Lepisosteus oculatus: one gene and its partners. The protein of the gene in region 1 interacts with the protein of each later gene in a pairwise test. Links are inferred from orthologs where the notes say so. Each region holds a gene or a part of one and is shown in the gene's direction. Other genes may lie near its edges. The genes, in order: liprin-alpha-1, receptor-type tyrosine-protein phosphatase delta and ccnh.

Evidence for each region.
Region 2: the proteins of liprin-alpha-1 (region 1) and receptor-type tyrosine-protein phosphatase delta interact in a two-hybrid assay, tested with the Homo sapiens proteins (2 studies listed by BioGRID). The link is inferred for Lepisosteus oculatus from reciprocal best matches to the Homo sapiens genes PPFIA1 and PTPRD.
Region 3: the proteins of liprin-alpha-1 (region 1) and ccnh interact in binary tests that used the Homo sapiens proteins (3 or more experiments, as listed by UniProt). The link is inferred for Lepisosteus oculatus from reciprocal best matches to the Homo sapiens genes PPFIA1 and CCNH.

The regions. Positions count from the first base shown.
Region 1 is NC_090716.1:5,716,515-5,720,269, forward strand, and holds the start of liprin-alpha-1, read left to right. Parts: upstream 1-996; 5' UTR 997-1,927; intron 1,928-3,755. UniProt on the Homo sapiens protein: May regulate the disassembly of focal adhesions. May localize receptor-like tyrosine phosphatases type 2A at specific sites on the plasma membrane, possibly regulating their interaction with the extracellular environment and their association with substrates.
Region 2 is NC_090696.1:70,733,118-70,736,872, forward strand, and holds the start of receptor-type tyrosine-protein phosphatase delta, read left to right. Parts: upstream 1-1,253; 5' UTR 1,254-1,399; intron 1,400-1,537; 5' UTR 1,538-1,645; intron 1,646-1,784; 5' UTR 1,785-1,821; intron 1,822-3,755.
Region 3 is NC_090698.1:71,955,889-71,959,643, reverse strand, and holds the start of ccnh (cyclin-H), read left to right. Parts: upstream 1-863; 5' UTR 864-1,031; intron 1,032-1,724; 5' UTR 1,725-1,727; coding exon 1,728-1,844; intron 1,845-2,993; coding exon 2,994-3,116; intron 3,117-3,456; coding exon 3,457-3,530; intron 3,531-3,755. UniProt on the Homo sapiens protein: Regulates CDK7, the catalytic subunit of the CDK-activating kinase (CAK) enzymatic complex. CAK activates the cyclin-associated kinases CDK1, CDK2, CDK4 and CDK6 by threonine phosphorylation.

The DNA.
Region 1 (3,755 bases):
ACAGCCTGTATTTCGGGACATTTTTAATGAAGCACTTCCCAGAAATCCATGCACTCCCAGTTAAAAGCACAACTGAAGTCCCATCTTTCCCACAACCATACTGCAGTTATTGTCACTTTGTGGATGCACCAGAGGGCTTTAAGGCCGTTATATTATCCTGGTAAATTGGGAAAAGAAAGGAAAATAGAACACAACGAGGTGTGGAGAGCTTAACCTTTGACCTCCATCTATTCAGAAAGGATGTTCATGACTAATTACAGTAATTTAGAGTGATAGGTCCCTCAAGGCAGGGGGAAAGGCTGGGGTCAGTGAAATGACTAGGGGTGTCAATATGGTCAGGTAATGGTAAATTATTTAAATGAAACAGGAAACAGTAGTATTAGTAATCTGAGTGCTTTATGGTATAAAGATTGATTTCAAACATATTGTTTCTTATTAAATAACTTCTGGCCATGTAAGAATATAACAGCTAAAAACACACCCCAGACAAAGCCATAAAATAAAGGCTTGCATCTTAAACAATTGATTGACATTTTCATCTTTTTCAACCCTTCCTGTCTTCAGTCTCATGTGGGCACATTTCTCTTTGACAAAGAAACGTCAGTATAGTCTTTAATTATTCACGCACGATGGTTAGAGGCTGGTACAGTATATGGAAAAATGTGGGCATAATTTTAAAAAAGCCCTTTTGGCTCCGACCATACAGTACATCTCCAATGGCTGCATGAATGTGAGACTGTGAGGCAGATTTTAGGAAGGAAATAAACATTTTAGTCGATTTTAGTAAGAAAATAAAAAAAAAGGTTACAAACAAAATCAGGCCATTAGGCCCATCTAACTCAATTGGTTACTAGTAGTCAATTGGGGGCAGTTTACCTGACTTCACTTGATTTTGGAGGGGGTATTCCCGTATTTAATTCCGGGGATAACCTCAGAGGGCGCTGCAGTTTGGAAGTGGATACTTCCCAGCGCGCAGTGCACGTTGGGAACGTCACGCAGTGATTTATTGGAGAACAGGAAACTGGAGATAACGAGAGCCGAGGCTCCAGCACGGAAAGGGAGAGAAGTAGTTCTGACAGAAGAGGACGACCAAACCGGGGTTGAACCCTGTTACATTAACGGGCGCTGGATGACTTCGGCCTCGGGCATCCCGGAAACAAAGGAATCCGGGACATCTGTATTTCCGAACTGAGGATAAATTGGGATTTTTATCGACTAAGGAGTTTCAAGTATCCCCTCTGCTTCTCACTGCTCCTCGGATCCCTTGGAAAAGGAGTCTGCTTTTCTTCTGGGCTGGTGACGCGGCTGAAAGGAGAGACCCTCGACAACAGAGAAGCAGCGAAGAGGAAATACTGTACCAATTCGATGTTTTCTGTCCGGCGTCCTCCTAGCTGTTTGCGATGGCTCCCTGGTTAATAGAAACTGGATTATAACGCGTTGCGGGCCCGATCGCTGGTTGCAGCTAAAGAAGATAAAAATTGCAGGATTGCCTTAGTTTACATCTGTTTTCCAGGAGCGTTTGATATTATTATCCCACTAACACTGTGGGTATTTGTAGGAGGTTATTATGATTGGCTGTGATCGTTATATTTTACCTTAATAAGGTAACTTAGTTGTTTTTTAGCGCTCGTAGTTCTTAAAATACATCATTAATTCAGGAAGTCACGGGAATCCAAGTCTCTTTCGCTCTTTCGGGCCTTTGGGATTTTCTTTTTTGCCATCTGGGTAGCTGTTTAATATTTTATTTTACGTCTTTGATGGATTTATTACTGTTGGATGGCTTGGAGGATACCTGATAGCACTTTAAATATTGTTTTTCGTTTTTTAAAAAGCTGCTAATAACAATAATCATAAAGGATTGTATTAACAAGCTCATACAAGAGGGGAAAGTGGAATTGACAGAAGATATTTCCTCCTCTCTGGCAAGGTAAACAGTGTTCTTTGTGTATTTATAAATATGGAGGGAGACAGCGGTTTCTTAACCCCCTCGTTTTCTATTGAAAAGTGTTCCTTTGTTTTAGCTAAGCATCCGACTGTAACGCCTGCACACTTGCAACAACAGAGGGTTACTTTTTCTAAGTTTTTTATTTATTTAAATTGTTTATGAATTTGCAAATACAGTGTCTGATGCAAGGTGAGTTAGCTTTCTTTATGTAAGGCTTCGAGATCACGCAGCTCCATTATCGTGCTGTACAAAGCCTTTAAATGAGCAGACACCTCTAAGAGGGCAGTGGAAAACTTAATTGCTTGGTTACCTACTGGGCCTCTGGCTCGCGAATGGAACTAATCAATACACACACACAGTGCGTCACTGGCGCACAGTAAACTGTTGAATAAGCGCTTTTCACAAAACTGTTACAGCTTTTCCTTCATTCTGTTACTCCAGACGAACACATCTGCTCTGACAGGTAGCCGCCTCCGCTTATTTTTATCATAAAGGGTGCAGAGCATCATTTTTAGACCGAATAATGTACCTATATAAAAAGACCCTCTCCGCTTTTTTTAAACGAGTTTAATATACAGTAAAACTGGTTTCATTTGAATTCCATTTTTTACATTTAAATTGGTTTTCTTTCACAATAAAGGCCAATACTTTATAAAAACGAAATTAGAATAGGAGAATTGGCAGCTTAGTTCTATCCAGCGTATGCTGTACCAATACTGCACAGGAAGGATCTTGGTTGTTTTTCAGGGGGTTGGAATTCGTAAACATTGAGTCTGCTCGAGCTGAAAATATTTCCCTGTGGTGACACATTGTGAGTTTATGAAGAGAAGACCAACGTGATTATTTAAATTCTGCGCTCAATTTATTTTCTTCCCAGTAGAAGAACCAAATATTTTAAGTCAGAGGGTTTTTTCCTGTTTATTACTCTGATGTCCTTTCTGATGATTTATTTGTAAGACATAAACTTCATTTTGAGCAACCAATAGACAGAAGTATGTATCTCTTTAAAGCGTGTGTCCTAAGTGAATGATCATGAATTATCCCAGTACATTAAGCTTGAAAGCCTGCATTTCTAAGTCACTCCAGGCATTCTTTATGCAGTCAGTAATGCATTTAAGATAATTTCCAGGACCACAGATCTTCCACATTATCAGTTTAAATGGATACAGCACTCTGTGTCAATGGAAAACTAAAAAATAACTTATTGATAACAGATATTGAAGTGCCTAAAAAGTATTGTCCAGATAGATTGTCCTTTTTAATTTTCCTCACAAATTGATTGACATTTATGGGTGTACTTTGTTCCTGTCTGTGTGTCCTCAGACCTACCCGTTCAATAGCTAATAAGTAGATAATATTAACCTTTGCCCCACGCTGTGTATCTTTGTAATCAGAACATGTTTTCTGAATAAAAACACCCATACTCCTTAGTTAAGTACAATTAAACTGCAAATTGTTGAAAGAGCTGCTATCATTAAACCAATAGAAGAATGTTGACATGCAAGTAAGTGGGATTGACTCTTGTGTAAGTGCTATGTTGTAAAGGGATATTATTCTGATTTCTATTTTTGACAGTGCATTTGATAAACGAAAACTAAATGCCTTTAATATTAGGAGCTCTATATCTGATGGCCATAAACGTCTTCCTGAGGACAAATTGCCCAGTGTTGGACATTTGGTTGTAAGGAGCACTGAGCTGAACACAATGGTTTCTGACATGCAAGCCATAAAAAGCAAGTGCCTTTAGCACTGAATGAATGTCTTCAACTAGGGATTTTAAAAGGCATTGCTCTATTGTTTACTGTTTTTT
Region 2 (3,755 bases), on another chromosome or scaffold:
CCCTGTTTCATTGTAGTGTTTGCCTTTTCCTTATTTTGATATTTTTAATTATTATATAATAATAATTCAAACACGCTTTCATATCATATAAAAATAATCACTTTCTGCTGCTACTCAAACTAAAGAGGAGTAATTTGAGCAAACTAGGGCGAAATACTAATTGACAAGATGCTATACAATTAAATAAGGAACCTGTATCATTAATTCTTTAGTAAAAATCTCATCTCAATACACAAAAATAATTACCTTAAGAATATTTTGAAATGTAAACACTATTCTGTCTCAAGGATTGTGTGAAAGCTTTAAATTGGCAGTCTGTAAATTGATCGGTGAGGGTCGACTTTTGTAGCCGAGCCTCACTGAAATTGAATTAATTTCCTTCTGGATCAAATAAAAAGACTGATATGCAGTTTTAAAAAGTCGGTTAAAAACGAATTCAGTAAGCGAAAGTAACACTTTTTCAAATTGAATCGTATGTACAATGCCCACACTGTACCAAGTACAACGTGATTTCGCGATTCAGATGATGTGATTCTTACGATCTTACAGTTCGTGATGAAGTGTTTGCTTTACACTTATTTTGCAGTACACCAAACACACACATACTGTACACAAACTGGCTTTGCTTAATTGAAAAACACCCATCTCAGACGTACTGCCCGAAAGCGGATCTTCAGGTTTGTTATCCAGTAGTTAGAATACACTGCGGGTACCATCCCTCCTAATTTTCTTATTCGCATTTAACTGGTTAGCAGTAAGCACAGTGGCGCCGTCACGAATGCAGAACAAATACATACATTCACAATACTAGAAAAAAAAAACTTTCACATATGCAAAACAGTCATTTTCTTGAGATGAAGTTTCCCCTGCTGCCGGAGGTATTAATGCCAGCAGGTTCTCTCTCCATTCTTCTAACAAGCGCAAAGATTGGAACCTTCAATACTTTTGCAACTTGAAAATCAGCTAAATGTCAGCATTTCGGAAGCTACATGCTACCGAGGTGCTGTGTTCTACATTTTATCAGCGCAACTAATCTAGTTGTAATGGATTGCAGCTTGACACAGCAATCTGGAAACAACTAATTCTTCTGCTAATCATCGACAGCGTCGGTGTCAAAGGGAAAGGAACAGCAAAAATGCTCTTCCTGCCGGCCATCAAGTGGCTCGTTAAGGAAATGCAGGTGTGTGAAAGCATCTCATCTATTTCTCGCTCGGTCTCTCTCTCTCCCTTGCTCGCATTCGCTGTGCCTCTCGCTCTCCTTACATCGCCAGCAGCAGTGTGTGGTACAATTTGACAGCAGCACTGTCTCTCTAAAGAAAGCTTAGCTCTCACTTTTCTGTCTTTCTCATTACCGCTCTCATTGTCTCCAGCTACAGCAAGAGAGAGAGAGAGAGAGCAGGTACCAACTACCCTTGCAGATAACTTAACAATGAATGCATATTTTACTTCTTCTCTCTGAAACAATTACACTTTTTGGGGGGAACCCCAGATATATTAATGGGGCTGATGTGCCTGTGTGATGTATTCTCTTTTGCAGTTCATTTGGGGCCTGTGTCTGGAATAAGAAAGCATTGCTGTTTCTGACTGGGGAGAAGAAAGATAAGACTCCTCTGGATTTCCAAAGAGATTTATACTGGATGTCTTAGTAAGTAATCATTTCAATTGTGTTATGTAAAGTCATATAAATATTGGTTTCCATGAATAAATGTATGTGTTGATATGTTTTTGTTATGTATATTCTTAAATAGTTGCTTATCATTGCCTTTTTTGTTGTTAAATTCCAGTTTCCAAGGCATTTGAAACCATCTAACTGGGTGTATAGTAAGTAGCTATTGGAGTTGTACTTGCATTGTGTTTTTTAGTTGCAGTGGTTCCTAGTGCTATATAATGGCATTACATAGACTGACTGTGGGAAGTATTCAATTATGAGTTTGTGTTGGCTCAGTTGTAAGGAATTGCTGAGGTGGGATATTTTTAAGCCACATCCAGCAAATACATGGCTCATTTTCGAAACGTTGATTTAAAATTGTGGTTGGTGATAATGGCTTGGAGGTGCAATATGTTCTTATAAAAATGCCTGCTAATTATCATGATGCCATCTAATAAAATATTTATAGTCATGTTTTCCTGTAAATCTGTAACTAATAGAATATGCTGTCTCTAAAAAGTCCATTTCTGTAATGGATACATTATTTTCAATGTCCATACAATTGGAAAAAAAAAAACATAATTGAATTTAGCCTTTTTATTTTGATGCTGCAAAATAAATGTATTGCCAAGTCTGATGGAATAAGAAAAGAATGTAGGTTTGTCTTGCACTTAATAATAGTAGTTTTGTGACTTAAACCTGTTATTTTCCTATCCTATTGCTTTTGTTTTTGAAAGCTGAAGTATTTTGGTTGAATTTAAGTTGTTTTGTCTTCTCCAGAGGCTTTAGCCCTTCACTTTACTGTAGAATGTAGATGTAGGGAAACTTTTCTAGGACTTGCCTCAGTGTGTCCTCTTGGACAGGCCAGCCAAGTGAGTTGACAGCCTGTGTTTCAGTCATGGGAGGGTGTCTTACTGTATACTCATGTGATGAAGATGTAAACAATGTTGCAAAATCATGGGGCCCCTTCTGTTTCCTTATAACTATTGCATTTTTTTTAATTCACTGTTTCACATTTTCACATTCTTAGATTTGGCAATGTCTCACACCAGGTGGTGACGTAGTGTAGTAGGTAATCCTTTGGACTCATAGTTGACAGTTTGTGGGTTCAAGTCTCTGCTGCAGACACTGCTGTTGTACAGGTACCTGTACCTTAAGAGAGGTACCCTATTTGCTCCAGTCCACCCAGTAGTATAACCGGGAGCCAGCATTGCTGGGGGTATCCATGTGATGGACCAGCATCCCATCCAGGGAAGTCACATGCTCCCTAATTTGCTTAAAGCGACAGAAACCAGGATGAGCTCTGGCTCAATGAGCCACTTTAGCTCAGAAATGGACATTTCCTTTTTACACCACACACCACAGGAGACACTTTTCACCTGATTGAAGTCTACAATAACCATACCTCACTTGTTGATGAAGCCAAATGTGTGTGTGTATATAGTGGCAATCTTTACTATAATTTGAGATTCTCTGAAATAATCATGATTTAATTATTTAATGAGACATGTTATCTGCTATTGACACTGTGACCTTTAAGTTCAAAACAGCTATAACTATAGTTTCTGCATGTGTGTTAACTCTGCTAAATTCTAATTACTATACCATAGTATACTATACTAATTCCCAGTCACGTTATGTGATTTATTTTTATTTTTTTATTTTTTAGTTTTGTTTCTATGCAGCTGTTTTCCCTTTACACTTTAGAGAAAACACTGTTTTCCATCAAATATGTTTTAGCAAAACCTTTGGAGTACAGTACTGTAATTCTCGAGGGAAATGGAAACTGTAACCTATATAACAAGCTGGCCTTGTGATGAAGATACTGTATTTGTCAGATAGGAATCTTTGTTAAGCTTACAAAGAAAATTAATTTGATTTTAGCATACATGTTTTTACCTCAAGGATTAGGTGCATTTGTGGATAATAAATGCTAATCTAGGACTTGAAAGAGATGGCTCCGTTTACTTTAAAAAACAGAAGTATTTTAAAATACAGCAACAGAGCTAGCTTGTTTACAACTACAAAAATAAATGGGACCTATCAGTAGACCTTTCATACAATATTATAAACAACTGAAGTTTTGCAAGAAAACAAAATCACTAAT
Region 3 (3,755 bases), on another chromosome or scaffold:
CCAGATGCATATTAACCTACCAGTATGCTTTTGGACCCACGCGAACAAGCAGAGAACATACAAACTCCACACAGACAGCACCCCAGGGCCCCAGTGCAGAGAGGCAGCGATGCCACCCCCTATTAAGTTTAAAACATTTCGTTGGATCATTTTGTAATTTCACAAAATTGGACAGCACAGTACAGGTCAGGAGTATGCTCTGTATATTGAGAATAACTGAATTGGTATTTGGAACTATGATACCCTGCAGTGCAGTGTCAACAACCTTAAAATATATGGTTTTGCACTAATACTACAGTCTAGATAAAATGCATGAAATGGAAATTATGTCTAATAATATACTGAGTTTTAACTGTATATTTCACTCTTCATCACATGCTGTTGTAATCTCCATTTCGCATTTCATAAGGCTATAACAGAGTGGGACATGCATCTTCTCTAGCTCATTTGGTTTTCAGCAGCTAACCGACTGAAAAGTTCACCCGTTTCTTTACAGAAGCCAGGGTATCAGCTTTGATAACGGGGCTGGACAGCTTGTTCCAGATCCCTACAACCCTTTGTGTAGGAATCGCCACCTATTCGTTGTTCAACACTAAACTTTCCACCCCGGCCACTATCTCCATAACCAGGAAATCTCCATATCTAGGTAAAACTAAGCAAAGTAGCAGATAAGTAACATTACAATAATGTTAACTCTCCGGATATGTTCATATAAAATCTGTAACATGATTAAAAAAAACATTAGAACCCATTCTTCAGTATAAACAACGTAAGATAAACAGTATTTTGTAGCGCAGATGGGTGTGCGGCTGTACTCGGATTTCTACGGTACTACTGAATACGTCATCATAACTGGAAGGACCCAAACGTTGCCTGTAGTTGTGCCTGACGAGTTAGTGGGAGTTTTTCTTAGGTTTGATGTAGTTTAGTTGCTGAGTTTTTTATACTAGAAACATTATACTGATATTTTTGTTAGTTAAAAAAGGAAGCGCAAATCAAAGTTCACGTCGCCATTGATACAATTATAAAAGGTAAACGCTTTTGGATTTTTAACTATAGCTGCGAAAGCAAAGTAGACAAAAGATTCTCGTCTTCGGAAATTAATGCACTGTGGTGTTTTTCCTAAAATGAATTCCACGCATGATAGTTTTAATAAGGCTTATTGTTATTAAAATTTAAGGTTTTAAGCGATGCATATGGAAAATGTAGTACTAACATCGCAGTGATCCAGTACGTAGGACATGATACTTTGTTGAATTAATATTTATATATAATGCAATGATACGCATTAATTTGTACAGCAGAACTGATAACATTGAATAGTTGTCCTGTTGGGGCTTTTTGTTTTGAAGGTCTTTTTTGACATGCCTTCAATCTAGGCATTGAAATATTTCTAGAGTTCTGTACTCTTGCTATTTGGTGAGAAGCGGTCAATAAGCTTTATGTTTTTATTGGTCTGCAAGGGCAACGAGGAAGAACACATCAGTTAAAATGTTAACGGACTTTACTTATAGTTCTCAGTTTAAGTAAATTAAAAGGAATACGACACGCCATTATTTCCTTAACGACGTACTGTGGTGATGAACAACGCACCTTCTCAAGTTTAAATCCGTGATTGTCTGCCTTTAGCTACTCCTTTACAAAGTTGGAGTCAAAAATTGTTCTGCCGTTTGTTTTTCGATCTCCATCGTACCCGTTGCCTACTGTGTTTATATACCTTATAGGAAATGTATCACAACAGCTCTCAGAAAAAGTACTGGACTTTCCAGAATGAAGAAGCGATGGACAAGCTGAGATATCAAGCCAATAAGAAATTCGTATCAAAGGTCACAGCGAGTGGAAAGGTAAAAATGCATTATGAATGACAAATGTGTATTAAATGAATCTGATTATATCGTTGAAATAAACTCACCAACACCTGTGGCAGCTCTTAATTTAGTATCTTTGTAGAGCATTGTATGGCACCATTAAGTCCCAGCTGTTTAAAGAGCTTGTAAGGAACAAACAGGTTAATTCAAAGTATTGGCTTTAATAACCGTAGCTTGTTCTATACTCCCACAGTCTATGGAACTAACGAAGGTAAAGAAGTTCCTACTGTTTTTGGTGTAAATGCGCTTCCACGTTTTCTCCCTGCTTTGTGGTTCACCATTCATTCTGAAGACATCTGCTGAGTTGAACTTGTCAATGTCTTTGAGGGTTTTCAATACTTGCCATTGCAATGACTTGTAATTATCTTCGTCCAAGAGCAAAGTACTTTCCTCATGTTTGCTCTAGTTATGACCAGCTGCAGGTGGTCGCTGACATTGATCTTTATGTCCTCAGAGAAATGCCCCTCTCTCCACATGGTGCAGCTTGAGTCCTGTCGTGTCCCAAAGTCTCAGTACCATGAGTCCTACATTGGGTGTTTAAGACTCAATATGATACCACAATATGATGAAAATATAAAGAACGTGCCTGCTGTGCTCAGTAAAGCTTTTCTTTTTATTTAATTCATCTTAAAGACGTCAGTTAAGCCTGCACAAGATAGCCAATGTGTGCCTGTGTTCAGGTCAGAATAGATCCTCGCAGGTTGATTCAGTTTTCCTCTGCATAAGTGGAACAACCTGCAGAACAAGCTGAAACTACAAACCACAACCGTCTAGGTTGTATGATTTAATGTTTTCTGCCCGATATTTGCACTTCTTAACACAGATTTGACCTGTCAGTAATCATTGAGTATTTTCTTTTTCTGCGATGCGATAAGCTTGTTTTTTAGGTTATTATGAATTAGAATTTGTTCTCAGCTGCATTAGCTGGTTAAATAAAGGCCTGTTGCTGTCTTGGGTGAAGATGAAGCTGCAGGTACCTGCAGAACAATGTCATTGTGGTTTGCTTGAAGAATGTACTTCATTGATGCTGAAAGCACAGCATGTGTGGATTTAGGTTCTATGTAATGGCAAATTGATTTGCATTACACGGTGTCTTTCTAAATCTGTGTTCTGTTTTGTCTGTAGGCTGGAATAAATGAATCCTTATTTCTGGATCCCAGGGAGGAAGATGTGATATTTAAGCATTATGAGAAGAGGCTTCTGGACTTCTGTGCATTTTTTAAGCCAGCAATGCCAAAATCTGTTGTGGTAATTCCTACATATTCCAAACTTCCATGTAATATACTGTAGTACTTCAGCTAACAGTAGCCGCAGTACAGGGCTGAATTATTGTATTGAAGTACAGCTGCAGTGAAGTTATTTAAAAAAAACATATAGGGTTAGAATGTTATATTAAAATGGTGTTGCAGCCCAGCAAGTAGCTTGTTTTAAAGTTTCAGATTTTGTTCATTACCTTTACAAAATTAATATTTAAGGTGTGATATAAATTAGCAATGCAGCGGTGACTAAAGATTTTCATCTATAACATCTTAATAACAGTGTCTGTCGGGAAAGTTTTTTAATAATTGCTTTCGTTTTTTGTACTTAGGGCACAGCAAGTATGTATTTCAGGAGATTTTACTTGAATAATTCAGTAATGGAGTACCATCCACGGATAATCATGTGAGTACTTTGGATTTGTCCTTCTATAGTATTGTTCAACAATTTGTAATAATTTGTAATAAGTAGATATCACATCAACTGTAAACTGCATTGTTTCGTATATTTAAATTAGATATGAAAGTCTCACGCTTAAAGATGATGAAAAACTTTTTCACAAGAAAAAAAATAAAGAAAAATCATTAAGGGTAACTGCAATGCTGTTTTCATATTTCAGGGTTAGAAACG